Linked DNA regions of Oryctolagus cuniculus. The protein of the gene in region 1 interacts with the protein of each later gene in a pairwise test. Links are inferred from orthologs where the notes say so. Each region holds a gene or a part of one and is shown on either strand. Other genes may lie near its edges.

What was found.
Region 2: the proteins of KXD1 (region 1) and TCEA2 interact in binary tests that used the Homo sapiens proteins (3 or more experiments, as listed by UniProt). The two-hybrid records come from large-scale screens. The link is inferred for Oryctolagus cuniculus from reciprocal best matches to the Homo sapiens genes KXD1 and TCEA2.
Region 3: the proteins of KXD1 (region 1) and C8H4orf46 interact in binary tests that used the Homo sapiens proteins (3 or more experiments, as listed by UniProt). The two-hybrid records come from large-scale screens. The link is inferred for Oryctolagus cuniculus from reciprocal best matches to the Homo sapiens genes KXD1 and C4orf46.

The regions. Positions count from the first base shown.
Region 1 is NC_091447.1:65,705,257-65,711,694, forward strand, and holds the start of KXD1 (kxDL motif-containing protein 1), read left to right. Parts: upstream 1-2,092; 5' UTR 2,093-2,222; intron 2,223-3,940; 5' UTR 3,941-3,964; coding exon 3,965-4,065; intron 4,066-4,788; coding exon 4,789-4,941; intron 4,942-5,575; coding exon 5,576-5,622; intron 5,623-6,109; coding exon 6,110-6,336; 3' UTR 6,337-6,438.
Region 2 is NC_091442.1:142,546-148,990, reverse strand, and holds the start of TCEA2 (transcription elongation factor A protein 2), read left to right. Parts: upstream 1-2,771; 5' UTR 2,772-2,899; coding exon 2,900-2,971; intron 2,972-4,367; coding exon 4,368-4,430; intron 4,431-4,635; coding exon 4,636-4,741; intron 4,742-5,333; coding exon 5,334-5,424; intron 5,425-6,113; coding exon 6,114-6,244; intron 6,245-6,396; coding exon 6,397-6,445. UniProt on the Homo sapiens protein: Necessary for efficient RNA polymerase II transcription elongation past template-encoded arresting sites.
Region 3 is NC_091439.1:138,685,693-138,692,037, forward strand, and holds the start of C8H4orf46 (renal cancer differentiation gene 1 protein), read left to right. Parts: upstream 1-2,396; 5' UTR 2,397-2,641; coding exon 2,642-2,791; intron 2,792-4,122; coding exon 4,123-4,278; 3' UTR 4,279-6,345. Other genes in the region: ETFDH (electron transfer flavoprotein-ubiquinone oxidoreductase, mitochondrial), read right to left, coding at 1,939-1,972.

The DNA.
Region 1 (6,438 bases):
CAGGGCCGGGGCCAGGAATCAGACCCAGGAGCTCCCCGGTGGGCGTGGGCATCGTGGGCACCGGCCTTGATGCCGGCCCGTCCCTGCCTTTTACCGCCAGTATTTGATCTATTTACAGTTGATGTAATTTTGGACACATTTGGATATAAACCTTCACCACTCTGTGTTCCTGTTTCCTAAGATTTAGTTATTTGAAAGGCAGAGTGAGAGAGGGATCGATCGATCTTCCAATCACTGGTTCACTTGACAGACGGCCAGAGCTGAGCCAGGCCAAAGCCAGGAGCCAGGAGCTCCATCCGGGTCTCCCACACGGGTGCAGGGGCCCAAGGACCTGGGCCGTCCTCCACTGCTTTCCCAGGCCACAGCAGAGCTGGATGGGAAGTGGAGCAGCCGGGACTCGAACCCGTGCCTACATGGGATGCTGGCACCACGTTGGCCTTCTTTAGGGACGAATGGGGGTATCTGGTACGACTCCCGAGAGCTTCCTGTATGGCCAGGGAAACGGAGGCATGGCGTAGCTTGTTCAAGGTCGCGGCCATGGAGGGCAACGTGGGCCAGGTCCCCTCCCTGGCCAGGGTGGCCAGTGGCTGAGCCCACCCGGGGACACGCGTGGAGCAAACGCAACCAAAACAGGGCGGAGGAGGGGGCTGCGAGTGCCCTCCCATGGGTCTCTCCTGCTGGACGGGGCGGCCCTGCGCTCACCACCCTCTCCCGTAAACACACAGGACACCAGGACATTTCGTCTCCAGTCCTCGGGGCCCCCAAGTCCCTCTGTCCCTACCCGTCTGGGGCTCCCAGAAACGTGCCCCGGCCTCTGGCAGGGCCCCCTGCGGCAGCCTGCACACGGCCATGGATCGAGCAGCTTCCCCCAGCAGGGCCCCTCTCTCAGCTCTTGGCCGCCGCGGGCTCACCGAGCCCCCCCCCCCTTACAACGGTCAAGCCCACACCGTGTGGTTTCCCATCATCGTTTCTTACAGCCCCAAGTCACGTCCACTGCCTGCAAAACTCCTACTCCAACCTCAAAACCCCAGCTAGATGGGGTTTGCCTCCCCGCAACCTCCCTTGCTCCCAAAACGAGCGCTCACAACGGCTCAGGTTCCTGCGCACGGAGGGTCCTTCCTATTCTTTACAAACACAGAAGCCCCGCGAGGCTGGGGGCGTCTGCCTCTGACTCTATCTCCTTTTTCCTTCCAGGCCTAAGCAGGACCTAAGTGGTCCCTGGGGTCCCAGAACACGGGCCACACCTGGCGGGAGGGAAAGTCTTTAAAAACTGTCAAACTCCGTAAGAATCCTGGTCCCCGGGGCTTTTCAGCAGAGGCGGCAGTAACAACGTAGCCAAGACGCCCGCTGGGAGCCTGGATCCCAGATCTGAGAGCCGGGGTCTGCGACCCAGCTTCTTCCCACCGGTGCGCACGAGCCAGGAGCTCCATCCGGGTCTCCCACGCAGGTGCAGGGGCCCAGCACCTGAGCCATCCTCCGCTGCTTTCCCAGGCCATAGCAGGGAGCTGGACCGGAAGTGGAGCAGCCGGGACTCGAACCGGGGCCCATAGGGAATGCCAGCGCTGCAGGAGGCGGCTTTACCCGCTATGCCACAGCGCCGGCCCCCCAAAAATTCTAAAAATTATTTTAAAAAATCCTTGTTGGGGGGCCGCGTTGTGGCGCCCGCACCCCAGGCGGCGGCGCTGGCTTCAGTCTCTGCAGCTCGGGACCGGTCCAGCCCCGGGCTGAGGGCCTGGGGGCAGCATGCCGGGCCCTGCACCTGCGCGGGAGATCCGGATGGAGCTCCCGGCTGCGGCCTGGCCCAGTGTCCATCTGGGGAGTGACCAGCGGATGGAAAACCTCTCTCTCTCTGCCTCTGAAGTACATAAAAAAAATCTTAGGAAAAAGTTCTTAAATGCTAAGATCATTCAAAGCGACGGGAGCCTGGGAGCTCTCACGGACTGGGGGAGACTGCGGACATCAGCCCTGGACATACCTTCCGACCTAACCCCTTCCGGCGGCTCAGCCGCGCGGACTGCGCAGGCGCACGAGAGCCCGTTTGATTGGACGTGGGCTGTGACGCAGGGCGAGCGAGCCCGCCTCTTCCTGCCGAGCCCCCACCACGCACGCGCGCACGCACGTCGGCCCCAGAGTGCGCCGCCGCCGCGAGCGCCCGTGCGTGGTGACGTCGCGGCGGCGCGGACGCCATCCCGGAAGCGCGAGCGAGGCTGCCAGATGTGCAGGTGCCGCCGCCGCCTCCGGGGCTGAGCTTGGGGCGGGGCGGGGAGCGGGACGCCGGGGCGGCGGGGAGCCGGGCCGGGTCGGGCGCCGTCCCCGGGCTGCCCGGGGTGGGGCGCGCCGTGCGGGGCGCGGGCGTTGGGGCCACCAGCGTTCCGACGGTGCGGTGTGACCTGGAGTTGGGCGTTCACCTGCCGGTGCCTCAGTTTCCCCGCTTCGTGTGGGCGGAGCCTGCGGGTGTAGACCCAAGCCCCGCCCCACCCGGGCTGTCTTTACCGGGGCGCGGAGTGGGGAGTTCAGCCGACGGTGTGGGCGACCCTCGCAGGGGTGGCTGGGAATTCAGTGCGACGTTGTGCAGTTAGCTCCGCCTCTTGCAGTCACGTGGGATGCCCTCAACAGGCTGGACCCCGTGGGGAAACACCTGCTCCAAGCTCCGCCCACAATCCACCTTGCCTTCACCGCCCCCCATTCCCATTTCCTGGATGAGAAAACTGATCCCTCCCTCCCCCACTTGAAACCGGGGCCCTTGCTGCGTGAGTTCCCTTTGGGATGTGCAGCCCGGAAGGCTTCCTGAGAGAGGCAGCCAGCGACAGGCCCGGGGTTGGAGCCTCTGCCCTGATCCCCGGACAGCGCGTGGGTGGCCCTGCTCTGCAGACAGTCCTAGCGCGTGTCCAGGGGCGGCGAGCCACCTGCCGGGGTCAGGGCGCGAGCAGTCCTGGCTCCCGTGATGTTTTGGATAAAAAGAATTCCTGGCTAACAGTGGCAAATAAGGCGATTTCATGGGGAAAAAATTGTTTTTATCAGCTGTCGTAGGAAGCAGCTGTCCCCCCGCCGTGGGCGGGGCCCGTCAGACGCACGTGCACCTGGGTGCTGCCCAGGGCCGCGGCCGCTCGGACCCTGGCCTGGGCTCGGGGGCTGTGTGACCGCCGAGCGCAGTGAGCGTGTGCCACATACAGTAGGCGCTCAGTAGGTGGATGCTGTGGGCTCCGAGTCTCGGCCAGCTGTAAATGGGGCTGTCTGTCATCTCGCGCGTGGGCCTGGCGGCCAAGCTATGCCAAGGTTCCAGATTTTTCCTGACCCTCCCACCCCCGCCCGCCGCTGCTGGGCCTCGCATGGTCTGGGAGGCCCAGCCCACTGGGGTGGGGTCCTTCGTGTGCCCGTGAGAGCGGGCACTGTCCAGGACGTCTGGGTCGTGGGGCTCCCAGTGCCTGGGACTTGCTAACAACAGGCGAACCCCGTCAGAGCCGGGTCTGCAGGGGCCGGCCCAGAGACCCCGGCGGGAGGGAGAAGGCGGCGGCGGCTTCCCTCCCCAAATGGCCACAATGGTCAGGGCTGGGCCAGGAGCCAGGAGCTCCATCCGGGTCTCCCACGCAGGTGCAGGGCCTAAGCACTTGGGTCATCTTCCGCCGCTTTCCCAGGCCACAGAGAGAGCTGGATTGGAAGTGGAGCAGCCGGGACTCGAACTGGCACCCACATGGGATGCGGTTGTCACACGTGGAGCCCTAACCCCTTGCTCCACGCCGCAGACCCCGCCCCCCCGTGGGGGCGACCCGATGAGGCAGCCTTGCCGCACGTGTTCTGTGGGGGCAGCAGGTGCAGAGGCGGGGGTGGGGGCTGGGAGGCAGCAGCAGCAGCTCCGTGCAGGCGCCCGGGACCCCGGGAAGCCGTACCGATCCAGAGCGCGCCGGAGCCCCCTGCAGTCTGTGTTTCCCGCCTGCTCCAGGCCGCGGAGGAGGAGGAGGAGGACATGGACGCCCCCGACTCGGCCTCCGGGGTCTTCTGCAGCCGCGTCCTGAGCATGGTGAACGCCGAGGACGTCAACGCCATCATCCTGGCCCAGAAGAACATGTGAGCCCCGGCTGGGCGGGGCGGGGCGGGGCGGGGCGGGAGCCCACTCCGGCCGCGCTCCTGATGCAAACGCAGGGAGCTGGATCTGCCTGCTGGCTCCCCTGGCCTCCTCCCTGGCCGGGCTCCTGGGCGGGGAGGCGGGGGGACGGCGGGACCAGAGGCACAGAGCTGTGTGGCGAGCCCCCCGGGGTCTCTTGGGGAGGGCGGCGGGACATACCTGCCTCCCACAGGCGGGCTCGGAGCCTGCCACAGCCTCACCCCGATTCCAGCTGCCTTGCTGGGGAGAGGAGGACCGGTGCATCCTGGGAGTGATTTATTTTCGTTCATTTGAAAGGCAGAGTGACAGCCAGAGGGGGAGAGGAGGTCTTCCCAGGGTGGTGGAGACCCATGCACGTGGGCCATCTTCCCCTGCCTTCCCAGGCCACAGCGGAGAGCTGGATGGGAAGTGGAGCAGCTGGGACTCGACCCGGCGCCCACACGGGATGCTGGCACTGCAGGCGGCCGCTTTACCCGCCACGCCACAGCGCTGGCTGCAGACTTGACCCTGGGGAAGCTCCCAGACGGGGCGTAGACAAAACAGGACACAGACCCCCACGGCGCCACATGCCAGGGCTGGGCCAGAGCACCCTGAAGCTGCCAGGGCCCCAGGGGCAGGCAGCGCCGTCACGGGACACCCTTACTGGGGCGCTGAGGACTGAATAGGAGCCTTCTCTCTGGCGCCAGGCTGGACCGCTTCGAGAAGACCAACGAGATGCTGCTCAACTTTAACCAGCTGTCCAGCGGCCGCCTGCAGCAGATGGGCGAGCGCTTCCTGCAGCACACGCGCGCGCTGGGCGAGATGAAGCGCGACCTGGACAGCATCTTCCGCCGCATCAGGTGGGCGCCCAGCCCTGCGCCAGCATCCTGGCTTTTTTTATTTATTTATTAATTAATTGGAAAGGCAGAGTTAGAGAGAGAGAGGTCTTCCCTCCGCTGGGTCACTCCCCACATGGCCGCCATGACCAGGGCTGGGCCAGGCTGGAGCTGGGAGCCAGCAGCTCCATCCGGGTCTCCCACGCGGGTGCAGGGGCCCCAGGGCTTGGCCACTGTCCACTGCTTTCCCAGGCCACAGCGGGGAGCTGGACCGGAAGAGGAGCTCCCTGACTGCGTGTGAGCTTGGCTGCCTGGGCAGCAGGGGGCGTGGCGGGCAGCAGACCCCTTTGCCACTCTGTACACAGACGGGCACAGGCTGTCAAGGCCCCGGGGGGCCGGCGCTGTGGCCTTCAGGCGAAGCCAGGGCCCGCAACGCCGGCATCCTGGCATCCCGTCCGGGCGTAGGTTCGAGTCCCGGCTGCTGCACGTCCGATCCAGCTCCCTGCCCACGCACCTGGGGTGGCCGCGAGAGCCGGGCCCTGCCACCGGGCGAGCGGAGCCGTCGCGGCCACTGGGGGCGTTCAGGGACCGGGAGGCCCGGGAGGCCGCCGGCCCCGCCCCCGGCAGCCACGCGCTCTCCCTCCTGTCCCGCCCGCAGGACGCTGAAAGGGAAGCTGGCGCGGCAGCACCCCGAGGCCTTCAGCCGTGAGTGTCCCCGGGCGGGCCGGGCCGGGGCGGGGCGGGGCGGTGGGCAAGGGGCCTCCCAGCGGCACCGCTGCCCCAAGGCGGAGCCTCACCGGGTCCCCGCGACCCCCAGGCAGGGCCGCGCTGCGAGTCTCCCCATTTCCCAGCCGGGACAACGGAGGCCCAGGGGCCCGGCCTGAGCTCACCGCTGCGGGCTCGCCCTCGGCTGCCACCCCACGTGGCTGCCAGCCCACCGCGAGCCCCGAGCGAGCCCCGGGTACCTCTGCAGAATGGGCCCGTGACAGGCACAGAGCAGGGAGCGGAGTCGGGCAGGGGCGGTTCCCGGCCCAGGGCCCAGGGGCCAGCATGAGGACAGAGCCAGGCGCGCCCCCAGGGCCCGTGCCCTCGCCCCGTCACAGCCTGGGCCTCCCCCCTCCCCCGGAAGGTGGGCGGGGCCGTGGCCGCGGTGGGCGGGCCGTCGGGGCCCCACCTCCGCCTCCTCTCGCAGACATCCCCGAGGCCTCGCTCCTGGAGGACGAGGAGGAGGACCCCATCCCGCCCAGCACCACGACCACCATCGCCACCTCGGAGCAGAGCTCCGGCTCCTACGACACCAGCCCCGACACCGTCTCGCCCTCCCTCAGCCCCGGCTTCGAGGACCTGGCCCACGCCCGGCCCGGCTCCCCCGCCCTCAACGGCCACAGCCAGTCCGAGGAGGAGCCGCAGGGCCAGTAGCCCCGCGCCGCGGGCGGGCGGCCCGGGCTGGCGGGACAGCCCCGCCCCGGGGCCGCAGGACCCCCGCAGCACGTCCGCGGACCCCTGCGGCAAGCCCCAGAG
Region 2 (6,445 bases), on another chromosome or scaffold:
CCTCTTGGGCCTCCTGTGGCGACGCAGGGAGCAGGTGCACCTGGGGTCTCATGGAGGAGACGGGACAAGGACTTCCACGCCAGCAGGGCCAGGGGAGAGCCCCCATGGACTCCACGTTCCCCTGTGGGAGTGACAGAGCAGAGTTTGCACTTACACCTCCATTGCTTTCCCAGGCACATCAGCAGGGAGCTGGGTCGGAAGTGGAGCAGCCGGGACTCGAACCTGCGGCCATACGGCGGCTTAACCCGCTACACCACAGCGCCGGCCCCACACTAACACATTTCTGAAAATAGTTCCTAAGATTTGCAAGTTCTGAGTGTATCTTCACTAACTCGGCGAGGTGTGGCGTCAGGTGGGGCCGCGGGTGCAAAGTGGCTTCCGTCTGTGTGCTCCAGGAGGTCGGCCTGCTGACCAGGAGCGGTTCACGGCTCTGTCAGAAGTGAAGGAATGCTATGTTTCTTTCCCATTGGGGGCTGGTCCCTGTCCTCTAGACCCAGGCACTCTGGACCCCCACTCCCCCCACAGCTCCCAGACCTCCCCCACAGCATGGAGAAAGTGGGGGCTGGATGTGAACTGCAGGCCACCCCCATCTGTCCTGGCACCCTCTGCACCCCTAAATAGGATCCCAGCCTCCTGGCCTCTCTTCTGGGCACCAGTGTTCACCCATCCTGGCTGGCCTGAGGCCTGTCCTTCTGACTGCCGATGACAAGGGTCCCAGGGTCACACCTGTGGCGCTGATGGTGGTCGTGGTCCGTTTTTTTTTTTTTTTTTTTTTTTTTTTTAAGATTTGAAATGCAGAATTTGGAATTTGGGAGAGAAAGAGGGAGAGGGAGTTTTCCATCCATGGTTCACTGCCCCTGCTTCTGCCCCAGCTCTGGATGCAACCACAGAGGCAGTAGATGACGGCCCAAGGACTCAAGTCTTTGCCACCCACGAGGGAGACCCGGGTGGGGTCCTTGGATCCTGGCTTTGGCCTTGCTCTGCGCTGGCTGTTGCAGGCGTCTGTGGAGTGAACTAGTTGATGGAAAATCTCTCCCTCTTGCTCTTTCTGTCTTCCCTTCTGTTACTCTTCCTTTCAAATAAATGTGCAAAGGAATCTTTTAAAACATTACAAGCAGGATCGAAGAACCTCAGACTGGTTTCCCAGGGATTCTGCCTGCTCCACCCCTGCTAAGCCAGCCGCAGAGTTGGAGAGGGCGGCCTGACCTCCGGCCCCAGGTGGCACCTGCCCCAGGGCTGCCTGAGGCCACACACCTCCCCACACCTCAGCCAGGCCACAGTCTCTGCACAGGCCCCTCTGACAGCCCAGTGGTGCTCCTGGGAGGCCTGTCCTCGTCATCTCCCTCCCTCCCTCCCTCTGACTTATTTGAAAGACAGAGTGACAGAGATCTTCCATCTGCTGGTTCACGCCCCAAGTGCCTGCAAACACCAGGTTTGGAAGAGGCTGACGCCAGAAGCCAGGAATTCCCGGGGTGTGTCAGCAGCAGCTGCGCCAGATGCAGGGCTGGGGCATCTAGGGGCCCTCGAGTCAGCTGGAACCCACCCCTCTCCCTGAGGCCTGCCTCTCCGGGCAGCCTGCGTGGTTGGCACCACCTGGATGACAAGGGTCTGGCTTGGACGATTTCTGAAGCCATGATTTCTGGGTCCCGAGGCGGCCCCAGTACTGGCCCACAAGACCCAGCCAGCTCCTGGGTGTGGTCACTCATCAGCCGTCCAGGGTGGCTGAAGGATGTGTGGCTCCATCCTCCCTGCTGCCCTGACGTGGCTGGACGCCCACCCCCGCCCTGACTACGGGCAGGGCAGCTTCTGCTGGCCTGGGAGACTGGGGTGTGGTGTCCGCCCACCATACAACCTGGGAACAGCCACAAGGAATTCATGCTTTTCCTCGTGGTTAAGGTGAGTCCCGCACCTGCCACCTTCAGTGCCGCTGAGCGCCTAAGGCCTGGTGTGCCCAGCTGCCCCCAGCAGTCCCTGGCCCGCTCTCTGCAGCCGCCAGCACCCCATCACTAGGAGGCAGGCAGGCACCGGTCCTGGCCCCGCACCTTGGCACTCCTCAACTCTCCTGGGCCTGGGCCACCCTCTGTGTTGTGTGGTCTGGCCCCTCCTGGGGACTTCAGCTGTGGCAAAAGCCAGTCTCTCGCTTATCCGGGTCAGTGAGTCAGCTTGCCTCACCCCAACAGCAGCCCTGCCAGGCACAGGTCAGGGGTCGGGGCGTGGAGCCGCCAGGTACAGGGACAGGGGTCAGCTTCTGGCACCCCTTCCCCATCAGCCTGACCAGAGGAACCCACCCTCCTGCCGGCTGTGGGGCTCCCCAGTGTGGGCGGGCAGCTCCGGGAGCCAACCCCGGGCAGAGGCCCTAACGACCCAGGCTGGGTTCTGGGACGGCGCCGTGGTCGCACGGACCGAGGGGCAGGGTTGGCGGGGTCGGGGATGCTCGAGGACAGAGGAGGGGGAGCCGGCCGTGAAGGGACCCGGAGCGGCCTAACGGGCCCGGGCCGTTCGGGGGGCGGGGCTCCTGGGGGCGGGGCTCCAGGGGGCGCGTCCAGCCCGCCCCGCCCCGCGGCCCTCGCTCAGGGCGGTTTGCGGGGCCCGAATTCTCCGCAGGAGGTCGCCGCTCCCAGAGGACCCTTCCCAGCAGGCGGGGCCGTGAGTGCGGGGGCGGGGCCGGGGTCGGGGTCTCCACGGGGCCTGCGGCGGGGGCGAGGTCGGCACACTCGGGCGCGGGGCGGGGCCGGCGGGGGCGGGGCCGGGCGGGCGCGCGCGAACTACGCGTCCCAGGGTGCAGCGCGCGGCCGCGGGGCCGGGGGTTTGAGCCGAGGGTCGGCCCGCGGCGGCGGCGGCGGCGGAGGCGGCGGCCGGGGTCGGTCTGAGGCGGGCGCGGGGGCGCTGCCCCGAGGCGATGACGGGCAAGGAGGAGGAGATCGCGCGGATCGCCCGCAGGCTGGACAAGATGGTGACCAAGAAGAGCGCGGTGAGGGGCGCGGGCCGCTGGTACCCCCGCCCCGTCGAGACCCCGCCGAGGCCGCCGCCCCGCGTCAGGCCCGGGAGCCCCCACGGGGAAGGACGAGAGCCCCGGCAGAGACCCCTGGGACGCCGGGAGACCCCCGTGCCCGGGGCAGGGACCCCCGCCCGGGCCGCCCCGCCCTCCCCCTGCGCCCCGCAGACCCGAGGCCCGGCCCGACCCCCGGCCCAGGAGCCCCCGCCGCACGCTGGGCCCGCCCCCGGCCCTCGCCCCCACTCACGGGCTGCGGGGCCGAGTCCTCGCCCCTAGGGGCCCGGCGCCTGCGGCAAATGCCGCCGCCTCGACCGGACCCCACGGCCGGGCCGGTCCTGGAACGGCCTCACTCCCCGCAGCACCCCTGGCGACCGCCCAGCACCGCCGCGGTGGGGAGGGGGCGAGCATCCCGCGGACCGGCTCCGTGCACGGGACCTGTGCTGTCCCCGGGGCTGCGAGCTCCCGGGGCGGCCCCAGACGGCTGAGTCATGGGCTCCGGGACCGCGTGGGGGTGGGGCGGGTTCTTGTGGATGGGGTTCTCCAGGAACGGGCCCGACTGTCAGTCATCCTGGAAGCAGCACCCCCACCCCATTGTTTTCTCACCCCCCCAGGCCTGCAGCAAAGTAGGGGCGCTAGACTGGCTGGGGGAGACTAACAGGGAGGGGAGCGGCTGGGCAGGACTCGCTCCCTGGGAGGACAGGGAGGGAGGCCAGCACCTGAGAGCTGAGAGCCCCTTTTGGGGTCCGGAGACCTGGGAGAGCCAGCTTCCCCGTGTGCAGTGCCGGTGGGAACGCGGCCCTGGGAGATCCGAACTCGGCACAGCGCAGGAGCGGGGCCTGCCTGGGAGAGGGATCTGCGTGGTCACCCCCGCCCTTCTGGTCGGAGAGACACACACCGCACTGAAGGGATGGCGCCCGCAGGGAGCAGTGGGGGCGGGGGAGCTGGCCCCCCCGAGTCCCACCTTTAAGGAACAGAGGCTTGGCTGGGCACAAGGCATTGCAGGGAGGTGGGGCCCACACCCATCAGGGTCCTGGACCTGGGGAGCCTGGAGGAGCGGTGCCCGAGGGGAGATGCCCCTGTGTGTGACAGCCTGAGCCCTCCCCTACCTGGCCATGGCCCTTGGCGTCTGTGCTCCTGTGGTTTGTTCAGTGACCCCACATGGCTACGGTGAGGTTGTTGCGTGGATGCTGGACGGAAGGTCACGGGACCATAGGGACAGAGCCTGCAGAGCCACTTGGCTCCTTATCCTGGGTGCACCGGCTGGTGGGCGGAGCCCTGGTGTCTCCAGGTGGAGGCACTGAGGCATGGCCTATGGGCAGGAAGAGGTGGGATTGTCCACTGAGCTCTAGGAAGCCCCCCTTTCTCCTTCCAGGAGGGTGCCATAGACCTGCTGAGGGAACTCAAGGCCATGCCCGTCACACTGCACCTGCTCCAGGTAGGTCCTTGCCTGCCCCCGGCCTGGGGCAGCTCCTGGGAGAGCAGTGTCCAAGGGCACACTGATGGGCACAGGCCTGTTCCTGGCTCTGGCTCTCAATGAGACGTTTCGATATCCCACCCTGTCCTCGTGGGTTCTACTGGGAGATGTCAGAGTCCCCCTGGGGGCTCCCCACCACCCCCCGACCCAGGCGGCTTGTTCACAGGCCACTCGTGTGGGGATGTCGGTCAACGCCCTGAGAAAGCAGAGCTCAGACGAAGAGGTCATCGCGCTGGCCAAGTCTCTCATCAAGTCGTGGAAGAAGCTGCTGGGTGTGGGTCGGGCAGTGAGGGCTCTGTGCTTGGAGGAGGGGTGCCCAGGGGGTGCTGGCCTCCTGCTTGTCAGGCACAGTGCTGCCTGGAGCTGGAACTGGACCGGGGCCTGCCTTGGAGGTGCTGCAGGAGGCTGGGGCCCCCAGAACCTGCTGGGCCGGGCAAAGCTGAGGTGCCCAGGGCCAGGGGGGCAGGAGGTGGCCCAGGGTGGGGGCACTGGTACGAGTGGGCTGTGCCACTGGGACAGGAAAGCAGCCATGCCTCTGGGCCCTGGGAGGGGGAGCCTTCCTAGGCTGTCCTGGGCACTTACCTCTGTGAGGCAGCCACGTGACCTGTGTGGCCAATGGACACATGCGACACACATGTGGGCTGTCCCCAGTGCAGGCCTCCCAAGGCGTGGGGTTCAGGAGGAGCCTGCTCTGTGCTGGAGGGTGGACCCAAAGAGACCCCCCCTAGGCAAGAAAGGGTATTGGGGTGGTGGCCTCCTGGCTGGGGCAGGGACCGGGACCGTGGCCGAAGGCGGTGGCCAGGGCTCTGCTTTGCTGGAGTCCTCTGTCCCCTTCACTCACTGCCTCTTCTCCGGAAACTGCAGACGCTTCAGATGCCAGAGCCAGGGACCGGGGGAGGGGTGCGCCTCTGCCTGCCTCGTCCTCCAAGGCCGCCTCCGAGGCCACGGATCCCAGGTAGAGCACCTGGGGAGCAGGTGCCGCTGTGACCCTGGGCGGTGGTCAGGGGAAGCGTTGGTCAGCCCAGTCCCACCTGGCTGGGTGTGCCTTGCGGTCAGTGAGCTGCTCTGGGTCTTCCCCTGCCTGCCTACCCTGGGGCCTGTCCTGGACCTGGATGCTCACTGGCCTGCTCTGCCTGGTGTCTGTAGACGCTGGCCCTTCCTCCTGGACAGAGGCAGCCCCCGTCCTGCCTGGCCCAGGCACACACGGGCAGCCCAGAGGTGTCCTGGTGAGAGGCTGCTTGGCTCTTGATCAGAGTGGACGGTAGTGGTTGGCAGCTGGGCGTGGGTCACAAGCCGAACCCTGGGTCTGTGGCGTGTGCTCCTCCGGAAGCCCCCTGCTCCCGCTGATTTCCACAGGGCTGTGCCCGCTGGGCCGGAGGATGCAGCCTGGGCAGCGGGCGGCCCCACTTTCTCTGTCAGAGGAAGCTGGCCTTGGATGACCCCTGCCTCGTTTTCCACTCAGGCAGCTCCTGATTGCCTAGGCTGCCCTCGCCTCAGACCTAAGCAGGGTGGGTGCCCTGAGAGGATGAGCTCTGACCTGGTGGGGACCACAGGACCCGCCCCCTGTGGCCAGCTGGGCAGACCCCACAGGAACGCCAAACTGGGTGGACAGGGTGGGGTCACGGGCAGCCCATCTCTCTGCAGCCGCAAGAGGCTGGAGCTGCCCAGGACGCCATCCACCCCAAGGATGACCACGTTCCCCCCGGTGCCTGTCACCTGCGATGCTGTGCGCACCAAGTGCCGCGAGATGCTGAGCGCCGCCCTGCAGACGGACGGTGCGTGTCCAGTGAGACAGCCCCGCTGCCCCAGCCCCCGCTCAACATCAGGCAGGGGGGGCCGTCTTGGGGGTCACCAGAGTACTGGCTCCAGGCCAGGGTGCTGTGCGGGCAGAGAACCAGTCGGGGTGCTGGTGGGGTCCTTCCCGCAGGCGACCACGTGGCCATCGGTGTGGACTGTGAGCGTCTGTCAGCCCAGAT
Region 3 (6,345 bases), on another chromosome or scaffold:
ACAATATTTGTTGATGTTTTATTCTTCCCAATGATTTTTGAAAAAATGAAAACCTGACATCAGACTATTAATAATTAGATTATGATGACAGCAGTAAAGGAAAAGATTTGGAGTGGCTGAAATTCTAAAGTCTTTCAATGCAAATCTGTTCTTGATCATTTTAAGATTTATTTATGTGAAAGGCAGTTGAGAGAAAGACAGAGAGGGAGGGATCCCCTGTCCACTGGTTCACTCCCTAGAGGCCCTGATCTGGCAGGGCTGGGCCATGCGGGAGCCGGGACCCAGGAGCTGGGAGCCGGGAGCCGGGAGCCAGGAGCTCCAACCGGGCTTCAAAGTGGCCGGGCAGGACCAGGCACTTGGTCTCTCTTCTGCTGCTTTCCCAGGAGCATTGGTGGGGAGCTGGGTTGGAAGTGGAGCAGCCGGGACACGAATGGCACCCATGTGGTATGCCAGCCTGGCAGGTGGCAGCCTCACCTGCTGTGCCACACTGCTGGCCCCTGTTTTTGATAATCTTTAAAAAAAAAATGTGGCAAGAAAACTGATTTTCTCTACTTGTAAACACACACACTGAAAACTACAGTATCTGGAATACTTTTAAAGTCTTATCTAAGTCTTGAAAGTATGCATAAATGTGATATTTAAGTGAAGCAATTACGGAACAACTCAGTTCCAGAGTTCAAATCTGTTATCATTTAAAAGGACATTTAGTATACGATGCACTGTAGTTTGGCGTACAGAAGTTATCACTTCTGAAAATTCATAACTGGAGCAAGACAAACTACAATTCTATTATTGTATGGCTGCGGATTCTCTTGAGAATATTTGAAGCGGCATAGTCTGATCAATGCCAGATTACAAAAAAATAAATAAATAAAAACCCACAACCTTTGCTCCTTTTCTGGAGTAAGTCTGCTACCTGACTAGAGATTTGGACATTTAGGACCATGGCTGAATTCTGGTAGAGCGCTGAGGGCACAAAGTCCAATGAACTCAGAACATCACCCTATCAGTCACACCAGCAGCACATCCGTGCGCACCTCTCTGGTGCCAGTAGTTCGCGAAGAAAGCCAGGAATCAGCATCCAGAGAAAACAGTCATTTTCAACGGATTTGGTTAGCGCTGGCCCAAGACGGCGGTAAATTAGGATCCGGAGCAGACAGCGCCTGACTACCGGGATATTCCAACAAACGTAAAAGCGGGCCCTGGTGTAGTAACAAGAGGAACAGAAGCTTCGACCGAGTTCTAACCTAATACTCGGAAGCCAACTTTAGAAAATTCTACTCCTGACATTTACAAGCACGCCCTTGCATTAGCAATGTGTGCAGGTGTTTAAGCATTCCATAACCAAAACCTGCCATTCAGCAAATCAAGCCGAGCCGATTACAACAGAATTCAAAGCTCTCTTAAGTAAAAACTTCTGTTCAAGCTAAAGTTTTTTATTTTATTTATTATTATTATTTATTTTTTATTTTACGGGTCGTATCTAACGGCAGCAAGGAACACCCCCGAACTGACTTAGGCCACGCAGAGCCATTCCCAGCTCCAGGCAGAGCTGGTGACTCGGGCGGGACACGAATCGGAATCCTGGCAGAGACCCCGCCGGAGGCGGGGACGGCTAACACCCAGGGGCGCCCCAAGGGGAAAGGCGCCCACTGGTTCCAGTGCCACCCCCGGCCCGGGAGCCCGCCGAGGGCAACGTGTTGACAAGTGTCCTCCGTCCCCGACCTTTAACCCAGAGAGGAGTCCTTCCAACTGGGGCAGCCTGAGGGGAGCGCGCCGGGCCCACCAGCAGGGGCACCGCGCGCCGGGCCCACCAGCAGGTGCACCCCGCGCCGCCGCGGGCCGCGGGCGCGCGCTCCCAGCCCCCGGGCGGCCCGGCCCGCCTCGCCCGCGCTCTCCCACTTCCCTCCACCCATCCCCACGCGAGCTCCCTCTCACCCGGGCAGGAGCGCCTGGCGAGCGGCGCCAGCATGTTCGAAGGAACGGTGACACTCGCGGCCGGACACAGCGGGCGGACGAGGGCCGGCGGCTGGCCGCGGGGGCGGGACCCTAGGCCGCGGGGGGCGTCATTCCCGGCCGGAGGAACCTGCGCCTCCGCTGAAGTTCGCCTCTGGGCTCAGCCGACCGCCCTCGCTGCGCGGGGACCTACCCCTCTCTCGCTCTGCGCCGGCGCCACACGTGACGCGCGGGCCAGCACAGGCTTCCGGGTCAAGCAGCAGACCAGGAAAAGCGCGAGGACTCCAAGTCCCAGAGCGCCCCGCGCTTTCAGGCTGAAAACTCGGCCTGCGCTTCCGGCTTGTCCAGCCGTGGTGGGCGGGGCCCGCACAGCCCGGAGCGTAACGCACGCGCACTGCGGGGCAGTGGGAGGGGGCGCGAGGCGCACGGCATCCTGGGAGTTGTAGTCTTCTGCTCCCAAGCACTCCGCGCCCTGTGGGAGCTCCGCGCAGCTGCACTAAGCCGCCCAAAGGGCATTGACGGACGTTTGATTGGCTGTCCCGCAGAAGCGAACCGTCTCCGTCTTGGTGGCCCTGGGTTGACTCACAAGGCGGGCCTTCGGGAAGGAGAAGGCGGCGCCTTTGGGTGTTGGGCGCGAGCGGTTGAAAGGCGGTTGGCGTCGGTTCGGCTGCCGCGGCCCCTGCCCATGGCTGCGCCCGCGGAGCTGCGGGCTGCCTCGCCGCCCCCGCCTCCGCCCTCTTCTCCGTCGTCCTCGGACGCCTCCTCAGCCTCTGCGAGCGCCAGCGGCGGCCGCGCGGTGGATCGGCTGGAGCTGGTGGAGCTGCAGATCGGAGACGTGAGTGTCGCGGGGCCCGCAGCGAGAGCCGGGGGCGCGACCCCGGCCGCGCGCGCCCCGCACTGCGGCTCCCGATGGCCACCTGCCCGGGCCCGGCGGCGGGCTGCGGGGGCTCCTTCCGCCCGGCCTCGGGCTCCCCGGACCTCGCTGCGGCCCGTCCCGCCCGTCCCGCCGGAGCCCCGCACTGCGGCTCCCGATGGCCACCTGCCCGGGGCCGGCGGCGGGCTGCGGGGGCTCCTTCCGCCCGGCCTCGGGCTCCCCGGACCTCGCTGCGGCCCGCGCCGCCCGTCCCGCCGGAGCCCTGCACTGCGGCTCCCGATGGCCACCTGCCCAGGGCCGGCTGTCGATGCTGCGGTCGGCGCGAGGCTTGCTCGGCGCTGGACTGCTGTCCTGGGTGTCTGCTGGGAAACCTGGCCTTGCCGCGGGCCAGCACGCACGCCCCACCCTAGCACCCCGTCCTCGGGATGGATGATGCGCACCGTGTGTCCAGTGTGGACCAGGCGCCCCTGTGCGGGGTTTTATCCTAGGTGCAGAAAACCTTTGGAAACTGAGGCTAACGTCAGGGCTGGGTGTTCTCTGAATGCGCGTGTGGTTTCGGTGGTGGCTCCTCTCTGACGTCTGCTTTTCTTGTCCTGCAGGGTCAGGATTGACAGCAGGGTGGTGGCACGGTGCCTTTGAGGCTGCACCATCAGGCGTCGAGGGTGAAGTCCTTCAGATACTTAGGGCAGGTGGAGAGGAGGCGTCTCCATCGCTTTCCGGAGTTCAGGGACTCCACGGTGTTTTCAGGGAAAATAAAAATACCGCCTTGGTCATGGCGCACAGACGGTGGGGCCAGATGCCCTCAAAGCTGACCTGCAAGTCAGTAATTCTTGAGGCTCTCTACAAACAGCCGATGTTTTCGTTTGAAAACTTACTACTTTTATGTTGAAAACATTTATTTATTTACTTGAAAGGCAGAGCCAGAGAGAGAGGGAGAGGCAGGCATTGTCCGTCCCCTGGTTCCCTGCTCGGATGGCCGCAGTGGCCAGGCCGGAGCCAGGAGCCGCGCACTCGTGCGGGTCTCTCGTGCGCGTGCTGGGCCCCAGGTACCTGGGCGGCTCCCAGTGCCTTCCCGGTGCCCTGGCGGGAAGCTGGGTCAGAAGCGACACACCTGCTCTCACCGGCCCTCTGCATGGAGGCCAGCATCACCAGCTGCCGCTTAGCTCACTCCACCAGAGCGCCAGCCCGTGGAAGTGTGTAGTAGCCTGGGTACCAGATTCATGTGAAAGCCATTTTCCGACTGTGTATAAAATGACAGCTTTAAAAATAACTGCTTTTTCTTCTCATCTCAGGCAGCGTTTTCATTAAGCAAGCTTCTGGAAGCCACGTCGGCAGTGTCGGCGCAGGTGGAAGAGCTGGCCTGCAAGTGTACAGAGAACGCGCGCTTCCTGAAAACGTGGCGGCACCTCCTGAAAGAAGGCTACGAGTCTCTGAAGTCTGACGGCTGACTCGGCCTGCTTAGGTGCTGGGCTAACGGCCGGGCACCCATTCCCGGCTCCTCGTGTGTGGTATCTGCACATGTGGATACGTGTGTCCCACATGTACGGCTTGAGCTCCTTCTAGCAGGCCCTGTACACTCAGCACGGCTTCTCGTGATTGAATTCTGCTTGGTTTTCGTGACTTTCGTGAAAGCAGAATGCTGATACTATTTTTGATGCCAGCCCGTGTTTGCTTACGCTTTAGTACCTGTGTCCTCTAAATTTCATGGAATCCTGTATGCAAATGGGTTCCTGTATGCAAATGCAAATGTTAATGCTGCCACAGCGCTGCCAGGGTGGATCAGGTGAACCGTCACACGGTTTCTGAGAAGACGCCAAGAGCAGCAGTGTTAGAAGTTGAGCTGCATCTTGGGGACCACTGGCAATAAGGGACGGAGAACGCACCTTTCCTTGGCCCTCTTAGGAGAAGGCTGTGGTTCTTTGAAGACTGACGTCGCCGGTGGCAGAAGGAGCTTCAGTAGCTAAGTTCTCTAGAGCTAGCGGCTGTGTTTTACTTCTGTATCCTCAGCACCTAAAGCAGTGTCGCCCAGCGTCAGTGTTGACTATGAGCTGGCAAATGTCATTCGAGCCTGTTTTCTTCTTCCTGATTAGAATCTGTGTCTGAGATGGAGAGAGACAGGGAGGGCGCCCCCATCTCCTGGCTCACGCCCCGAATGCCTGCAGTAGCCAAAGCCGGGAGCTGGGGACTCACTGCAGGGCTCCCACGTGGGCGGCAAGGACACAGTTACTTGAGCCATCATTGCTGATGCTGAGAACCCATGTTAGCAGGGAGCTGGAGTCAGGAGCGAGAGCCAGCAGTGAAAGCAGGCACTCCCGTGCAGGGTGCAGGCACCCTGATGATGTCTTACCCACTAGACCAAACACCCGCCCCCTTGCAGGTTTTTTTTGTGTGTTTTTTTTTTTTTTTTGGACAGGCAGAGTGGACAGTGAGAGAGAGAGAAAGGTCTTCCTTTTGCTGTTGGTTCACCCTCCACTGGCCGCCGTGGCCGGCGCACCGCGCTGATCTGATGGCAGGAGCCAGGTGCTTTTCCTGGTCTCCCTTGCAGGTGCAGGGCCCAAGGACTTGGGCCATCCTCCACTGCACTCCCTGGCCACAGCAGAGGGCTGGCCTGGAAGAGGGGCAACCGGGACAGAATCCGGCGCCCCGACCGGGACTAGAACCCGGTGTGCCGGCACCGCAAGGCGGAGGATTAGCCTAGTGAGCCTGGCGCCGGCCCCCCTTGCAGTTTTGAGCACGAGGACTGTAACTGTTTCTCTAAAAACAGGCTGAACCACAGTGTCATTGACTTAAAGGGAAACATGCTCTTTTTGTGGAGATTTGTATTTTGATGATAGCTTTTAAGAATATATGAAATAATTTTGCTCTTCTGTGATGCTTTATAAAAGCCTTTAGGAAACCAAAGCCCACTTAGAAAGGGTGCGCATTTTCCTCATTTATTTCTGCGGTGAACTGCTTTCATAGTTAATATTTCTTGTACGTGATGCTTTTCTGTTTTACCACGGTCTTGAAAGTGCCTTATCCAGTGAATGGCGTTGTGCTGTTACTTTTTGAAGGGCTGTGAATGATTTCTGTAGTATTTCTGGACGGTTACTTTGTTGCCAGTGCGTCAAATGTGAATGCTGTCATTGTTTCCATATTTGACCTTAGTGACGATGTTCTGTTTACCCTGTATCTTGTATTGCTTTTTGTTGTTTTGTGACATGTTTAATCAGTCAGCTACTTTTCTTCTTTAGTAGAACTCGCAGACATCTCTGACAGGACATCGTAATTTTGTAAATGAGGAATTTGTACAGAACTATATTCCAGGGCCTCACAGTGGGCCACTGATCGGGGACGCCAGGATGGACAGAGATAGTTCTGTTTAGCACATAAGGTCACAGTTCTTGATTAGTGTTTTTAGTTAAAGATCACACATACGATGTGATATCTATACCAAAGAGATGCTTATTTGAGTATTAGAAAAATATTTTCTTAAAAGTCTTCAAAATGGCAATTTTTAAAATGTACAAAAATAA